Linked DNA regions of Tribolium castaneum. The protein of the gene in region 3 binds, or shares a complex with, the protein of the main gene of each other region. Links are inferred from orthologs where the notes say so. Each region holds a gene or a part of one and is shown on either strand. Other genes may lie near its edges.

Evidence for each region.
Region 1: raptor (region 3) and rictor share a complex: the UniProt entries of both Homo sapiens proteins name them as parts of the mechanistic target of rapamycin complex. The link is inferred for Tribolium castaneum from reciprocal best matches to the Homo sapiens genes RPTOR and RICTOR.
Region 2: the proteins of raptor (region 3) and lateral signaling target protein 2 homolog are in contact, whole or in part, in a cryo-EM structure (PDB 9F43), measured with the Homo sapiens proteins. The link is inferred for Tribolium castaneum from reciprocal best matches to the Homo sapiens genes RPTOR and ZFYVE28. Residues at the interface, in NP_065812.1 of Homo sapiens: Arg54, Arg305, Arg306, Thr317, Asp321, Phe337, Arg338, Leu341, Ala344, Arg348, Leu437, Gln438, Leu440, Leu441, Ser442, Gln443, Arg446, Pro474, Tyr475, Lys478, Leu479, Gln481, Ser482, Ser483, Ala484; in NP_066023.2 of Homo sapiens: Arg399, Val400, Phe401, Phe402, Met403, Asp404, Asp405, Val406, Glu407.

Annotation. Positions count from the first base shown.
Region 1 is NC_087395.1:23,063,290-23,068,563, forward strand, and holds part of rictor (rapamycin-insensitive companion of mTOR), read left to right. Parts: intron 1-119; coding exon 120-221; intron 222-267; coding exon 268-1,332; intron 1,333-3,084; coding exon 3,085-3,776; intron 3,777-3,822; coding exon 3,823-3,935; intron 3,936-3,982; coding exon 3,983-4,486; intron 4,487-5,274. UniProt on the Homo sapiens protein: Component of the mechanistic target of rapamycin complex 2 (mTORC2), which transduces signals from growth factors to pathways involved in proliferation, cytoskeletal organization, lipogenesis and anabolic output.
Region 2 is NC_087395.1:24,480,225-24,485,598, reverse strand, and holds the start of lateral signaling target protein 2 homolog, read left to right. Parts: upstream 1-2,251; 5' UTR 2,252-2,577; coding exon 2,578-2,613; intron 2,614-2,826; coding exon 2,827-3,105; intron 3,106-4,314; coding exon 4,315-5,374. Other genes in the region: uncharacterized protein LOC107398699, read left to right, coding at 1-221. UniProt on the Homo sapiens protein: Negative regulator of epidermal growth factor receptor (EGFR) signaling. Acts by promoting EGFR degradation in endosomes when not monoubiquitinated.
Region 3 is NC_087399.1:3,465,637-3,471,010, forward strand, and holds the start of raptor (regulatory-associated protein of mTOR), read right to left. Parts: upstream 3,510-5,374; 5' UTR 3,353-3,509; coding exon 3,197-3,352; intron 3,148-3,196; coding exon 3,045-3,147; intron 3,000-3,044; coding exon 2,758-2,999; intron 2,707-2,757; coding exon 2,327-2,706; intron 522-2,326; coding exon 421-521; intron 367-420; coding exon 1-366. Other genes in the region: EKC/KEOPS complex subunit Tprkb, read right to left, coding at 3,587-4,093; Arpc2 (probable actin-related protein 2/3 complex subunit 2), read right to left, coding at 5,040-5,067. UniProt on the Homo sapiens protein: Component of the mechanistic target of rapamycin complex 1 (mTORC1), an evolutionarily conserved central nutrient sensor that stimulates anabolic reactions and macromolecule biosynthesis to promote cellular biomass generation and growth.

The DNA.
Region 1 (5,274 bases), on a different chromosome or scaffold from region 3:
TCCCTAAGTGCCCATGTGATCACACATTTTTTAATTTTATCGTTTATTCTATAAAGATTTGTATAAATATTTATTTCTTCGTTTTTAATTATTTTTGAAACAAACGATTTATCTGCCAGCTTGTGGGGAAAGACGGAGACGACGTGATAAAAGAAACCGGGGTTTTGGTGAACAAAGACCCATACACGTGGAACTGGAACCTCATCAAAATCGTACTAAAGGTAAGTCAATTTATTGTAAATTTTTTCGTCATTTTTAATCCCACAGGGTGAATCCCTAAAAATCGACCTTTCGGAGACCTCCCATCGCAACTTCATAAAACGCCTCGTCGACTTCTACACCCCTTCGCGCAACCGCTTCTCCCACATGGACTTGAGCACGCCTAAAGTCAGTATTGCCTACACCCTGACCGGGATCGACCTAATCAACTGTCTCCTGGAGCTCGAAGACGAAGAAAGCAACCGCATGTTGCTCGACCTGTTGTCGGACATCTCGGGCAACATTAATGCGATAACGAGCGGCCGCAGCGTCCACGACTGTCTCTTCAGCCCCCAGCACATGAACAGCACCCAATGCCAAAGCTACTTCCTCTTCCTCGGCCGTCTCTCCTCCACCGACGTGGGAATGCAGCTGCTGACCAGCTTACAAATCTTCAAGCAACTCGAACACTTGGCCACAACCACGAACAACGACTGTTACGTCAAGTTGATCGTGTCGTCTCTGGACTACAGCAACGCGGGGCCTTGTCGCGACCTATTGACCGAGGTGTTAAAGTGCGCCGTTGAAAGTTCAAGACTGTACGCCACCCAATTTCTACTAGTGCTGCTAAGGGCCGGAATTAACAATTTCGCCGACTGGGGCGTTCGGTGTCTAGTCAAACAGTTGAAGGATCCGTCGCGGTCGGTGTTCCTCGCCGCGTTAAACACACTGCATGAGGCTTGTGAAGTCGAAAGCTGTTTAGAGACTTTAGTTAAGTTAAATCCGGACTTGGGCCATTTGGGCGAGAAAGGCTCGTTGTTGGCGCTCAGGTTGTTATCGATAACTTCCGGGTTTCAATTGTTGAACAAGAACGACTTCGTTGTGAACGAAATTAAACGATGGGACGAGTATTTCATTTATAGATACATTAAACTAGTCGAGGGTGAAACCTCCGATGCTTTGACTTTACATCAGAGGGACGAGGACGGGAAATACGATAAGAGGACAAGCACGATAAGGACGACAAATAGGAAGGATTTTTTCTTGCCGCCGCATCTTTACGGACAATTGGCGCGGCACACTGATGGCTTTCTCATTCTAGTGCAGCACGGGTCGCTGGAAAACATGATTCAGGTGAAACACCCATTTATTTTGTACCAAAAAATTGTACAAATTCAAAAAAAATTATACTGGACTGATTGCCCTTTTTTCGGGTTGTAATTAATTCTTTGAACATTATTTTGCAAAATAGAAAACACAAAATAGGAACTAAAAAAATCCTTGATGGGTCGTATGTTTTTTATCAGTCTCTGTCAGTGAGTGATTGCCAGAACAAATTATTTAATATAAAATTTACCAATATAATATTTACCAATCTAAAAAATAGTGAAATAAAAAAGCGTTTATTTGTTTAACGAAACGCTGTAAGTGCTAAGTTTACAAGGTGAAACTTCTAAAAGTGTGTTTTACTAGATTGTTCCATGGTACATCTAAAAAACTAATACACAGATAAAAATGAGCGTTTGCTGTTAAATACTTTTTTTTTCTCTGTCTGTGATTTTTTTCAGAATTTTTTTTACAATCCTTTATACTTGAAATGCTAGAAATTAATTAATATTGTGTCTATTTATTGCTAATGATATTCTGAAATGGTGTTTTGTGCAAATATTCCTACAGAAAATTATTGCTAGCCCATGAAAATAAAGAACCCCTAAAGTTTATTTACTTTGTGGCTCATATTTAATTGTAAACAACTTCTAATTCGAGTTATTCAAAAAATATATATAATAAATAATAATTGACACACCACCACGGCGATTTTTTTGCATAAAACAAAATTTATGCATTTTTAATTTTTTTTTTTCGAAATTCATTTTAGTTTTCGAGTTGTTCAAGAAATATATATATAATAAATAATAAATGATACTCCACCACGGCGATTTTTTTGGTAAATGATTGTGCTTTAAAATTGCTTGAAAATAGTATTATTTTTTAACCGGTGTATTTTTTTTTAATAAATTGTTATGTTTTTATTTATATCCATGAATACAACTTCTTCGGCTAAATTTGAACAAATCGTCGTAATGAGCTCGGAACGTAATTCTAATACTTTATTAAAAAAACACTGTTTTAAAAACAAAATTATTGAATTAGAAGTCATTTATAAAAATATATTTGAAAAAAAAATTTTTTAATAACTCGAAAACTAAAAAAAATTGAAAAAATTATTTTTGAAAAATGATTACATTTTAAAAGTAGTTAATGATACATAATACTAATTAGTTTTTTCGTAAGGTACATAATTAATTTAGACACAAAACGTTTGGTTCAAAACTCTGTATAAGTACCTACTGTTATTTTCTATTTCGCGTTTGTTGACTATTTTTTTCATCGTCATCGTTATAATTCTTTTTTTTTGTTTTTTTTAATTCGTCTGATTCCTGTTGGCGCTTTAATCTGGGTTTTTTCTTGTACCCTTTTTAATTTTTATTAATTACGTTTTTTTCTTTAATTAATTGTTTACCAGATTTGTACTAAAAACGGTGTTACAAAGTCAAAATTTTTAGCACTGTTCTTAGTAATTTGGTATGCTGTACTATTATCAGCTCTGACTTGTTTTTTTTCTGAGAAACATTGGTATTATTACCCAATTTTAATAAAGTGTAAGTTAATTCTTCGAAAATCATTTTGCAAAACAGAAAACACTTATACACAGCACTTATATAAAATGAAAAAATACCTCCAGTTTTTATTTATTTTGTCACTGTCGCTGCCAGCATAAATTATTTAACGTGAAAATTGCTACACAATTCAAATAAATATTTTATAAAACTTCGAAATTACGATTTAAAAGGCGCTCACATTGCGATAATTCTTTATTTCTAGTTTCTCACGAATGGCGTTTGTGAGACCGAGGACGATATTTTGAAACTGAAAGCCTCAATATGGGCTTTGGGCCACTTCGGCAGCACCAGCGAGGGCCTAAGATACCTAATTTTGCACAACTGTTTGGCAGCTTTGATAACCTTGGCACAAGAGTGCTTAGTGTTCTCGATTCGGGCAACTTCGTATTACGCCCTCGGTCTAATCGCAACAACGCGACAAGGCGCCGACGAACTCTTCAAACTGGGTTGGTTTAGCACACGTCATAACCGACACGTGGCGTGGCCAATCATCGAAGAGGAGGCGTGGGACGAGGACGAGGACAGTTTACGACTTCCGAGTAGTTTCCCCGATATCACGCCCACTTTGTATTACTTCGACTCGGGAATTAAGGACGTAGAGGGCAGCACTGACGACGATACGTCCGAGTCAATGTTGCCCGATTCCACAGTGGCAGGCCCCCAGAAAAGCCTGACTTTGCCGGCCAATCAGAACCAAGCGGCGGGCTACCACAAGAGGTCGCTGTCCGAGTCGAAAACCTTCGAGATTATCCGAGCGCCTCAGGACAGTAAAAAAGGCAGCTTCCGATTGGGTACCGAGATTGTGAGGCGCGTTCGGAACAATTCGACCACGGAATCGACCACGTCCGGGGTGAGTTCGTGCGATTCCTTCGGCGGAGGCAAATCTGTGATCTAGTAAGTCACTATTTTACATTTGTTTTTTCTTAATTGGGCATTTCAGCGAACGGCCACAAATCTTGAGTCCTATACCAAGTTCCTGTAGTCTCAGTACGTTAAAACAATCGGCGAAAGTGCGGCGTCATTCGGAATCGTCACGGCGTGTCTCAGTTCAAAGTAACTTAATAGGCTATGCTGGGCGTGGCTAATGGGCGTGTTTTCAGGCGGGTCTAACTCGGATCGCTCGCTCCAATCGCTGGGCGGGGGCGGGTCCAGTAAGCTGAGCCATCAGGATCTGGTTGGCTATGCCACACTTCGTTCCTTACGAAAATCGCCGAGGTATTTGGAAGAACCCGCCTACGACTCGGACGATATCCGGAGTGATAGTAGCTGGGATGTTCCCGTTTCACTAATCGAAGATTTCAATCTTTTAAATACCACTGGGACAAGTATTAAGCGGTTTAGTGTCCACGATCGGAACGAAAGCGAGGATCGGTGTTACATGGGCGTGACTTTGCCTCATGACATTAATCATTTGTTTCTGGATGTGGACAGTGAGGCACGTGATGCCTCTTTGGAGAGATTTCCGATCATTGACGACGAGATTGTCTATGCAATGCACGATTTTAAAGTGCGTGAGGAGACACTGTGGAGGCACGATGTTGAAACGTGCCTTGTTTGTTCGTGGAAGGGGCCCAAAGACGAGGTTTTTGTCACGACATCTAGCGGTAGGTATTTAATTATTATGTGGATTTAATTCGCGCTTTTACGCTCTCTGGTGAAGGATTTTGAACCGTTAAACTACTATCAAAGTGTCAAAAAAAATTCTATACTTTGATTATCGTCTTGTCATATTTCGTGTCGAATTTGGTGAAACAATTCAGGACGTAGTTGGATTTAAATTAATTTAAAATAAAACACATTTCTGAATTCTGTTTTCAAACTGAGTAAAATTTACCCAAGTTGTTGGTACTTATCTGTCATAGTTTTTAACATTATATCAGTTTTATTTATAATATCACTGCTCTTGAACCATTTGCGATAAGTGAATAATTTTTTTACATTCTGTAACCGAAGGTTTGAAAAGCTTTCTGAAATTTTCAAATTTGTTGACTGTCAAAATTCAAGGCTAGTATGATTTCTTGAAAATTATTATCGTAAACGGCTCTAACTCAGTTTTTTTTATGGAATCACCTTATTTTCTCAAAGGTAATCGAAAGAACATCGACATTTATGGTGACTTATTAACACGTCTTATACCTATCTCTTACGGTTTTTGAAAAATCACAAAAAAGGATTTTATTTTGTAATTTTCATCGTGAATCAAGTAGACTTTGCAAAATGGTCAACAATTGTCAAATTTCAACATTTTATTTCGTTTTTAGCTGTATGATTATCGAATAAGTAGTAAAACAATAATATGTAATTATGGTTTATTATAAGTTAGTGAATTATGTAAAGTATGTAACTTAGTCAGTCTGCCTTCGAATTTTTAACTTCTTAAATAAAAATGGTG
Region 2 (5,374 bases), on a different chromosome or scaffold from region 3:
AAAAAATCGAGTTTCCCCAAGTGACTATGAACGACCTGCCGAGTCCTGAAGGCGACTATTACACCCAAAACAACGCCCGCCAGAGCAAGTACAACATGCACTTGATGATCGGGGTTGGAAGTCTGATTGGAACCATCGCCTTTGGGGTTGCCACCGACATGTACAACCTTTTGAGCGACGTTCCGGAGCAACCCGCCGAGATCGACTGCTACAGGGAATGAAATTTGGAAATAGTGTGATTGTGGAGTGATTAAAATGATTGTTCTAAATCTATTAACCTATTCCATTAGCTGACTAATCTATTTAGCTATTTATTTATTCAGAGGATTATCGGGGCGTATAATTGGCCGGTGATATTGCGCTGATTTCGGTGAATATTAGACAATGCGATCTGGTTAAAATTCGGAGGCGCAAAAAATGGTTGCGTAACGGAAGCTTGCGGTTGAGTTTCAACACAAATCTCGCTTTTTCGCTAACGGTACGTCCAATTTATTGTCGTTAAGATGGCGTACGTGATTTTCGTTTGTTTTTGCCCGGCCGGCTAGTTTTTAGCAGTGTAGAGGGTAAATAGAGGCAATTACTCTCCCGCCTATGGGGCCACCATAAGTTCATTAGAAGTCAATCAACTGGCATGCGAATAAAGTGGACAAGCCGTCTGCGATTTCATCCCCCGATTGTCGTTTTGTTTTTTCGGAATTTTTACCTACTAATTTCTCCGTCTGACTTTTATCGCGTGACAAATTTCTGTCGCCAGTCGCACACACACAAAAAATACTTAAAACAACGACTGTCTAAGCCTGCTGTGCCGTAATCAATAGTAATAGGGAGATAGGGCGGAATACCTACGAAATTACTTGTAAATGCCCTCGATAATCTCCGAGAAACGGACTAATGTTTTTTCTTGGATGGCCGGTTATTTATTACGGGAGATATTATGAAAGTTTCATTTAATTTCTCTGAATTTTTAACGGACGCTTTCAGCTGCTTGCCTTATTTTTGTTAATTAAAAGACGACGTTTTGATTTGATTGTGCTCAACGTCAAATTAATCACATTTCTCCACTTGTAATTATTCTTTTCACATCGTAGTCACAAGCTTAATTAACAAAATCAACTCTTCCTAACGATAAATTACCGACAGTATTATTCACACCATAAATTGTTGTAGAAAATTAATTAGAAATGGAGATAACACCTAATTAACACTTTCGCGAAATTTTATCAAAAAATACATAAATTTATTAATTGCCAACTTTTATAACGCAATTAAATTTAATTAGCAAGTTTTGCGGCCCAAAATGCTAGTCCTTGAAAATCACAATTAAATTAAATCATCGAGAAGGCCAGGTCATTTCATACAAAAAAAAATGAGTTTTATAAAAATTAACACAAATCTAACATAATTTTTCCTGAATCTCCGTAAAGTAAAACGATTCACTAAAGTAGGGTAAGTGGCAGGGGATAGTTTATTAAAGCGTCATTTTAACTTTGACTGTACCATCCCTGATTACAAGTTATATAACTCTGCAACCAACAATAGGGTCCAGCATAATTGGTTGCATAATACTATAATTTTTTGTAAATTGCAGTTTTTGAAAAATTAAGCGTGCGTTTGATAACTATTTATGTAAAATTACTAATAACACTAATGCAATAGTAAAATAATTACAAACTATTACGTTTGCGGATAAAATATTATCTGTAATTCGGAGTAAGTGACTTTATGTGCCTAAATTATATGAAATAATAAATAACTGTTCAGCTGTGCCACATAAAGTAGCACTTTTAATTCTAGCACCATAATCTACTATTAAGAGGCTTACCTTGCAGCCTCCAGTTCCAGAAAAAGCCACAACTGTGTTTTCTTTAAAGCCCTTTTAGAACCACTTGAACCAAGTAGTTTTTTAGCACATACACCACTTTGTTACACCACTAGGTTTTAATTACGAGCATTACGACAATGATTTAAACAAAAACACACTTTTTAGGGGAAAAACAGCCGACACGGCGGGTCAGTGAACTGTCTAGACATGTAAGGGCGCGAAAAAGTGACAATGGTACCAACCAACCCCAACCAAAAACTTGCTAAAATTTGTAAAAACTTAAATAATTGAGGTAAATTAATTATAAAGGGACACTAATTTTCAAAAATTGTTATTTTGTGCCCTCTTTACGCAAGTTTCCAGAAATGGGGCTTGAAATTTTATAGTTATTCGTCTAGTGGGTTACAGAAACCTGTAATTGGATTTATGTAGGTGTCAGCACTACGTGCACACCTGTCAAAATCAGTATGTCGTGTGAATCATTCCAGACGTTTTGTTGTCTTGAAACGTGCTAATCGCCTCAAAAGTTGATAAAACCGTAGTTCTAAACTCCAGAGCAATAACTTGGATAATATTTTATCGTTCTCCAAGCGCCATGACGCCAAAAGCAGCCTTGTCTCCGTGTCGTAAAAGCCCATTATTTAGTGCAAATAGTGATGATCAACATGGTTTCTCTTGAAACCGTGCTCTAATTTCCGCAAAAGTTGCCTATAATTCGTCGGAAGCAGCTTGTGGACGATGCAGGAAGCCTGAGGATGGAGTCGTTGCGGAAGTGGTTCTACAGACCAAAGGTGAGCCCCGTTAATGAATTCAATGTCGCAACCTAATTTCCCAACGGTCTAGTTTCTTTTTTACCTCCTAATCGACGAATTAATTTCGCTGATTAAGTAGGCATCGTGCAATTACGCGTTGTTGTTTTGTTTCGCTTTCTACGTCGTGACGTCATCCGATCAAAATCAAAAGTTTCCCCAATGTGTGACGTCAGGCCTTTTGTTTTCTTCCAGCGGGATGACAAATCTTTGTTGGCGCAATTTTTCTTCGCCGACGAAGCTTTGAACATCATCGCCAACGAGTTGGACAGTTTTGATGGACGCAAGGACCCGGGGAGGTGCACCACGTTGGTCAACCAGCTGAGGCAGAGCCAGGACAAGGTGCTGACGATCACCAATGCCATCATGGATGTGCTCATTGGCGACGAGAGGGCCAACAGGGACTTCAGGGTCAAGTTCCCGGAGGATGTGCTCCAGGAGAATTTGGCGGGACAGCTCTGGTTTGGGGCTGAGGTAATGAGCCCTTTGGCTGGTTTTCGAAATTTTCCGTTATTTGCGCATTATCGTCAACAAGCCAAACGTCAGTGATAATTTTAATAAATATTTTCACCGATAATAATGTTTTTCGGTGTTTGACCTTAATTATGCAAATGTCAGCGATTCTGAACTGGTCCAAGCATGGGGAAATTATCGATAATTTGTATTTTTAGACGGGTTTAATTAAATTTCGTTATCTTGCGACTTGTAACGAGTATGACTAAGTTTTGTTGTTACACGAATTTTTCTTATCTGTGTTTGTTGTACTGTTAAGCGGCAACACAAGGAAAACAATCAATTAATAACACTAAAAAACAAGAGGGAAGAAGGAAAAGTTAAAAAAAATTGGGCAAGAAACTATGGTCTCTTGACAGAAATCTTAACTTATTAAATTGGTTAAAGCAATACAAAGAAAATAAAATAAAATGTAAGATGTACAAAAAAATAATGCTTGCGTTAAATAAAACTTTCTTGTTGAATCCTTACCTAAATTTTCCTAAACATTCCTCGGTAAAATAACATTTAGGAACAATAATAAAAAATCTGAAAAAATTGTTGCTACAAAAAACTTTGGTAGTGGAATAAAAATCTAAACTTGTTTCCAGTTGCTAAAACAATAATGTTTAGTTATCAGAATACATATTTACGATTGAATAAATTCGAGAAAGTCTTCTTGAACTACATACTAATTACTTTATTTATTACTAACGAAGAATTTTGAAAGCAGTAGGTTTTTTGTTATTCAGTTTGGGCATTTCTGTCTTTGTTTTACTAAATATCACAAAATTAAAGCAAACATTAATGAATAAGAATTTTTTTTTGAAATGAGTTTATTACAAAAATAAACAACTTTGGTCAACTTCATTCAACCTCAGACGCAAGCAAGGTCTAATGAGCCCGATAATTTGTACAAATAAGCACCCACTTATCGAAATTTTCCATTTTTAACACTTTACTCGTAATTAATTTTCCGCCCGATTTTCATAAAACAAATGATAAAACTTGACCTCAAGCATTTACGAAGTTATAAAACGGCGCGATATCACCGTATTAAAGTAAGTATTTAAAGCGACCCTGAAATACCAAAACCGTAAGTCAACGACGTCAAATGAGCATTTTTCGTGACACAATCGCACGGAAGTGCCCATAAAAGGCCATGCCTTGAACAGCACCGCTTTCTTGCAGTGTTTGGCGGCCGGCTCGTCCATAATGAACAAAGAGGCCGAAAGCACGGCCATGCGCCCCCTCGCCAAAGCCGTCACCAAGAGCTTGGAGACGGTGCGCAACCTCCTGCGCGACACCTGCCTCCGCAACAACACCCCCAACGGCCCCATCAAGCTCGACAGCAACGAGCTCGTCACCGAAATGCTCCTCGAAAGTTTAAAAATCTTCGATAAGTTATTCGCCGAGTTTGAGCTCGCCTACGTCAGCGCCATGGTCCCGGTCAAGTCCATGCAAGAGTACGAGCTCCAGGAGCTGATCGGCGTCCTCTTCAGCGAGACGTTGCAACGCGCGCTTAAAATGAAGCTCCTGAGCCAGGAGATGGTCGACGATTGCGACCCGGCGCTCATGTTTACTATTCCGCGACTGGCGATCGTAAGTGGCCTTTTGATTTTTCCAAGTGGACCTTTGTGCGTGGACAGACCGATCGAGGAGATGAGCAATATGTTTCGGCCGTTTCGGACTTTGTTGCACAAGATCCGCGAGCTGTTGTGGACGTTGAACAAGCGCGAGTTGTTCATGTTGGAGAAGTTGTTGTGCGATAACGAGCAGATTAGTGACGTTAAGTCGTTCAGTGATAGTGATTTTCGGTACGATTTCATCGACCAGTTTTACGGTGACTTGCACCGCGAGGAGGTCGTGGTTGTGGCCAAGGGGGAGGTGTCCGTTAACAAGGATAAACCCGTTGTTTATCCCCTTGAAACGGACACGCCTTCGACTTCGGGGTACTTGATCCCGAATAGTATAGCTCATGATATCGTGGTGGCGTCGGTTGTGGAGCCCCAGCCTGGGGACTCGCCCCCGGATCACGACTCCCTGGAGGTGATCTCGGTGGCCGCGGCCACGCTATCGTCGATTTTGGCCGAAAACGAGTCACCGAACGATTCGGGCGTTTGCACCGAAAACACAAGTCTTGACCGGTCACCAAGTCTCGACTGTCAATGCGGTGTGGGCTGCAAGTGCCGGAAAACCTCCCCCAGGATCAAAGGCAAAGGCAAACTCCCACCGACTTTACCGCGGAAGA
Region 3 (5,374 bases):
ACAGTTCAAGCGCTCGCATCCGATGGACTTGACTGAGTAGGACTTGTAAAACAATTGGCAATTGTTCGGGTGGACTGCGCTCCTCGCATCCGAGTTCTAGCCAAACTTGGAACGCGGTCAATTGCTCTTCGAAGAAAGGCAAGTTTTGGAAAGGTTCGTTTCGGTTGATGATTCCGGGAAGTTGGCCGAGGCTCAAGTCGAGGGCTAGGTCCCATGCGTTCCACATGGGGTGTTGGGAGGTTGGTGGTAACAGTGGGGAACTGACGGGAGTGCAATCGCACGATTTTAGGATGCGTTCAGCGAGGAGGAAATTACGGAAAAGGGACGCAACGAGGAGGTCTTGACGGAAGAGTTTTTGAAAAAGATCTGGAATTTTTGTACTTGTATTTTTTTCGAAGGATTTGTGTTTATTTAACCCACCTCTCTGTAACGTATTCCAGGCTATGGTGTCTGTAATTGCTGTAAAGATCCAATTAAGCTCACCGAGCATTGTGCGGCGGTCGGTTATTTGACCCGGTATTCTGGGAAAATGAAAGAAAAAATAATCTTGTCTTTAAGTCTTAAGTCTTTTTAGTCTTAAGACTAAAAATCAAAAGTAATTATGAACTTTTTTCTCTAAATTTTGCATCTTTTTATTTTAATTTTTGCCCAGTATTCATAATAAATAGTATAAACCTTGTAATTCAGCTCAAATGAGAAAGTTTAGTAATTAGTATTTATAAAAAAAAATTGAAACAAACTTTATTAAAACTGAAAAAAAAACTGTATAAACATGATTAAACTGAAAAACACTCAAGTACGGTGTTTTTATTTTGCCTGTCTATTATAGGACATACTAGATTTCCTACAATTTTATCCACAAATGTATTTATTCAGATAAATTATAAAAAATTACAAAAAAACATCGACCTTCTTTCCTTAGTAAATAGTAAACTATCACTTCTCTTATTCGTCTTATTGTCAGGAAGGTTAGTGAAAATAAAAATGATGAAACGCAAAAGTAAAACAGTTACACTATGGTCGAAAAATACTATTACTTTTTTTTATTATTTCTATTATTGTTATTATTAAATATTATTATAATATAATCATAAAAGTTGTCAGTCTTACAACGTTTGGAGATTTAAATTAAAAATTAAAAAAAAAGACACCCAAAAATTACTGATTTTTAAACGTAAAAACAAAAAATACAATATAAGAGGGTGAAGATTGAGGAAGCTGACGTATGTACAGCTTGAACGTGAGCTGTTTTAAAGGTTTGAAACTTTTTTTTAACCTTTTAACCACAATAGTAATTATGGATTTAATATTTTTGGAATTTTGGATCGAGGAAAATAAATAAAAAATACCGGATATTTTAGTGCAATTGAATGTTTTGTACTAAGTAATTCAACATAATTACCTGCTCTTTTGTTACAAAAAAGTGGCAAGGATTTCATGCGCTTTTTTCAAAACCAGTTAATACTTCATCAAAATGTGGATATTTAAACAATTTTCGTATTTGAACTCCGACAATACTCCATCTTTATTTTTGTATCGTTTAAATTTGGAAACTTAGAAGATAAAAAAACATCACCTTATTTATTCCATTAATAATATAATCGATTACAAAAATGTCGTGGTAAATAGTAAAATCGTAATGTTCTTAAGAGAAACAGCATTTTCGTAAATTACTTTTAAAATGTCATTATATTTTATTAAAGTGATTATTTTCAAAACTAAAAAATAGTTTCCAAGTGGAGATAATGGAATTTTAGACCCACTTTTATCTGTTTATGTTTCATAATTGGACCTGACCTTTTAATGCGGTTTGGGTCAAGTTCATTCTTTGTCATTACACCAGTTTTTTATAATTCTCGAAGGAGTAAAAACTGCTTTGCCAAGGAAAACAAACAAAAACAGCATTAGTTTTAAAGTGCGTAAAAATAAATTCTTCTAGCTATAATTAGAACGCAACAATAGAAATTATTTCAGGAACGCAAACAAAAATGCTTCACACTTTATTTTATTAATAAATAATAGATTAAGTCCGATGATAGGCAGGTAAATTACGTCTAAAAATAAATATTTAATTACCTAATGCAAGTGCGAGTTAATCTATATTTTTACGATAAGTTAATACCTTACTCTAGCGATATCAATCTGTTGTAAAACATATTTATCGGTGTAATTTTTCGAAGCCACAAATTACTGTTTAAAAATAATATGAACAGTCAATTTCATTTCGGTAAAAGTTCATTAACCGTCAAGTGTTTGCGTTTAGTCTGCGGTCCGCATCATTGCTCAACCTTGGCCCACTTCCAAGTCAAAACAAGTGGTTACTCACTTATCGATCAAATCCAGGGTGACTTTGGGCACTAGTTTTGAGGTAGACTGTAGAACGAACCATCTTAAGGCGACCTTGATTGGCGTAGTAAGGCAAGACGTGAACAAATCGGCCGGTAAATCAGGATTCATCGGTAGCACTTCCTTCGCCCCGCACGCCGCCAACTGTATGCAACTCTTATAGGAGGGCAAAGGCGCCACCACTGGATTTTGCCGCGACTGACTCGTGGCCTGCTCGTACTCGGCCTCGTGTTGGGCGGCAAACCGCTCGAAAGACTCGATTATGATCCCGGCGTTCGAGCAGTCGTAGACGTAGATCGAGGGCGCCCCCATCCACGTTTGCAGGTCGTAGATGGACAGGGGGATGTATTGCGTGTAGGTCTGTGTGAGAACTGGTTAGTAAAGTGCTGGGGCTAGTTGGGGGTTGTTTACTCGATTGAACACCCAGATTTCACCGTTTTCCGTCGGTTTAGGAACTCCATGACCGTTGTAGTGGAACAGAACGCGTTCCTCTTTGGCGTTGCGGCGCAGCGAAGTGCACAGTTTTTTGACTTCTTCCGAAGTGGGGTCCAGGGACTGCTTGTAGCGCGCGCGGGGCTGCCACCGCTCGTACTGCGCCTGCAGGTTCTCCCCGATTTTCTGGATCGACTTTGGGGCGGACAAGGTTAAGGGATCTGGAACACGACCTGAATTCCGCGAACGCATGCCGACCTAATTACCTATCCAGCACTCCAGACGCGCACATGGCTGGGTTTTCATCACGTCGGGCGGGTCCACGCCCACGTTCAGACACAGAACTAGGGCCACACTCACTGTTTTCATCTGGAATTTTGTAATTAAAACAAGCAACTTGTGGGCGGGTTGCAGTTACGCGTTCTTTCATGCGCCATGTCTGCGTTATGCACTCGACGCCCTCGATGGGCTCCAAGTGCCTGTCTTGCATGAAGCTCAGGGGCAGGTCCTTGTCGGAGACAGCCTCCTTGTCACTGTCTTTCTCGTCATTGCCGTTGACACCCAACTCTGTCATAGTTTTCAGCCGCGTTTTCGGGTTTTTTAGGAGTTGTGAAGTGGGATTTATTTAAGTCGTAACGATTACATCAAAAAACGGAATCAACACCTAAAATTTACACACGCATGGCACGACAACAAAACTGCCATCTTACTACCAACTGTTAGGGTTTTTCGTTCACTCGAGCGGGAACACCAAAATCAAACAGCTTTTAGAGCTTTTTTAATAATTTATTATCAATATTAAATACAATCAATGCGAGATAAAATCCTTAGTGGCTATCCTACTGACGACGGAGTCCACAATAGTGCTAGTCGCCCCTTCCTCAGGCCCAATCTTGTAAGCCTTCTTAACAGCGCCCAAATCCCGAATCTCCTCAAGTGCCCCCAACTCCACTTCCGTGCCTTTAATTTCAGAAAGAACGCGACTGTCGTCGTCGCCGACAGTCACCACCAGCAAGTCTCTACAGTCGTCAGTGATCCCAAACTGTTGCAAACTTTTCGTTATGTGTTTGGATACAGACAAATTGAATAAAATTTCAGTGAAAATCGTTTTAGTGGTGCGGTTTTTGGCAGTTAGGGCCTTGTTTGCGGCCACGACTAACTGGAACGGGTCCACAATCAACTTGGGGTTTACGAGACAACACTCAAGTTGACCTGACATTATTTTTTTACGCAAGTCGGACACGTTCTCAACACTGTGGAATAAACGGATGTTGAGGGTTTTATTCACGAGGGGGTCCAATGCCGCTTTAACCATTTTTTAACGGTGAATAATAAAAAATGTGGAATTGTAGGGTTAGGTTTATTGTCAGTCTCAGGCGAGAAATTCGCTACTGTAGAATCTGTAACGCACGAAAATGATTAATAAAATTACAAATAAAATTGTGCGTGTTTGCTGCTCCCACCCAATTATTGATACTCTCAATACAGTCTTTTGAAATTCCTTTAATAATTTAAAATAATAGGAATTTCGCGTTAGTAGCAAGTCATCCAAAATGACTGCTTGAGTTGGCCATCCTGGCTTAATAAAGTTCAATCAAGTGTCGCCACACGTTTTCGAGTTGGTAAAAAAATGATACACAGACTTTAAAATAACATTTTATTTTCTATTATTGAATTAAACAGTGTCTTGCTCTGTTAATGTAATATAAAAATGAAATGAGCATGAAGAATGCGTCCAATTGCCTACAGAAATCCGAAAATATTGCAACCTGCTATAGAAATTGACGATTCATTTATTACCTATTAAACTATGTTAAGTTATACAATTTATTTGGCGGTTCAAGTTCTCAATAGTAAAAAGGATCGTTCCGAATCAAAATGATAACAACAAGCGGATACATAGTAAAAAACCTAAAACACGTCTCGCAAACTGGGTAAAAAATATGTAATTAAACTTTGTATTAGAAATATATAATTCACAATATTGATGTGCTTACCCATATTTCAAAGGAAGCACATGGTTAAAAGATTGAATCTATGTACACAAGTAGCTGAAAAATCAGCACTTCTATTAACTGAACTGTAGCATTCAGTACTGAATGAACCAATTGATTGACTTAATAAATAAACTGCAAGAGAGGCTGTGCAAGAACTGACTGATGGGAAAATTGAATGAAACAGTTAAGTTTAATAAATTGTCGGCAGTTATTAGTCCTTTTTTGAGCTGATCTTACAAGCAAAGTTCACTAGTACTATACACATCAATCCCGTCGAACGAAAGTTCTCCCTCTGTAACAAATCAATCAATTAAATTATGATACGGATGTCTAAAAGTTAGGATACGAAACGACGTACAAATAAAACGCTCCGTTCTCGATAGTTCCGTCAGTGTCGCCAGAGAGCGCAGTTGTTCCTTGGTTATGTTAGTAAAACAAAAAATACAGACAGATGAAGCATTAAATTCTCAACATAAGCAAAATTTATCGTAAACTGTAATTAAAAAAATGTCAAACTTTTACCAATTTGCACTCCCCCATATTTTTCAAAACGGTGCGAATACGGTTGAAGATACAAAAAAAGTGTAAGGAAGAAAGTT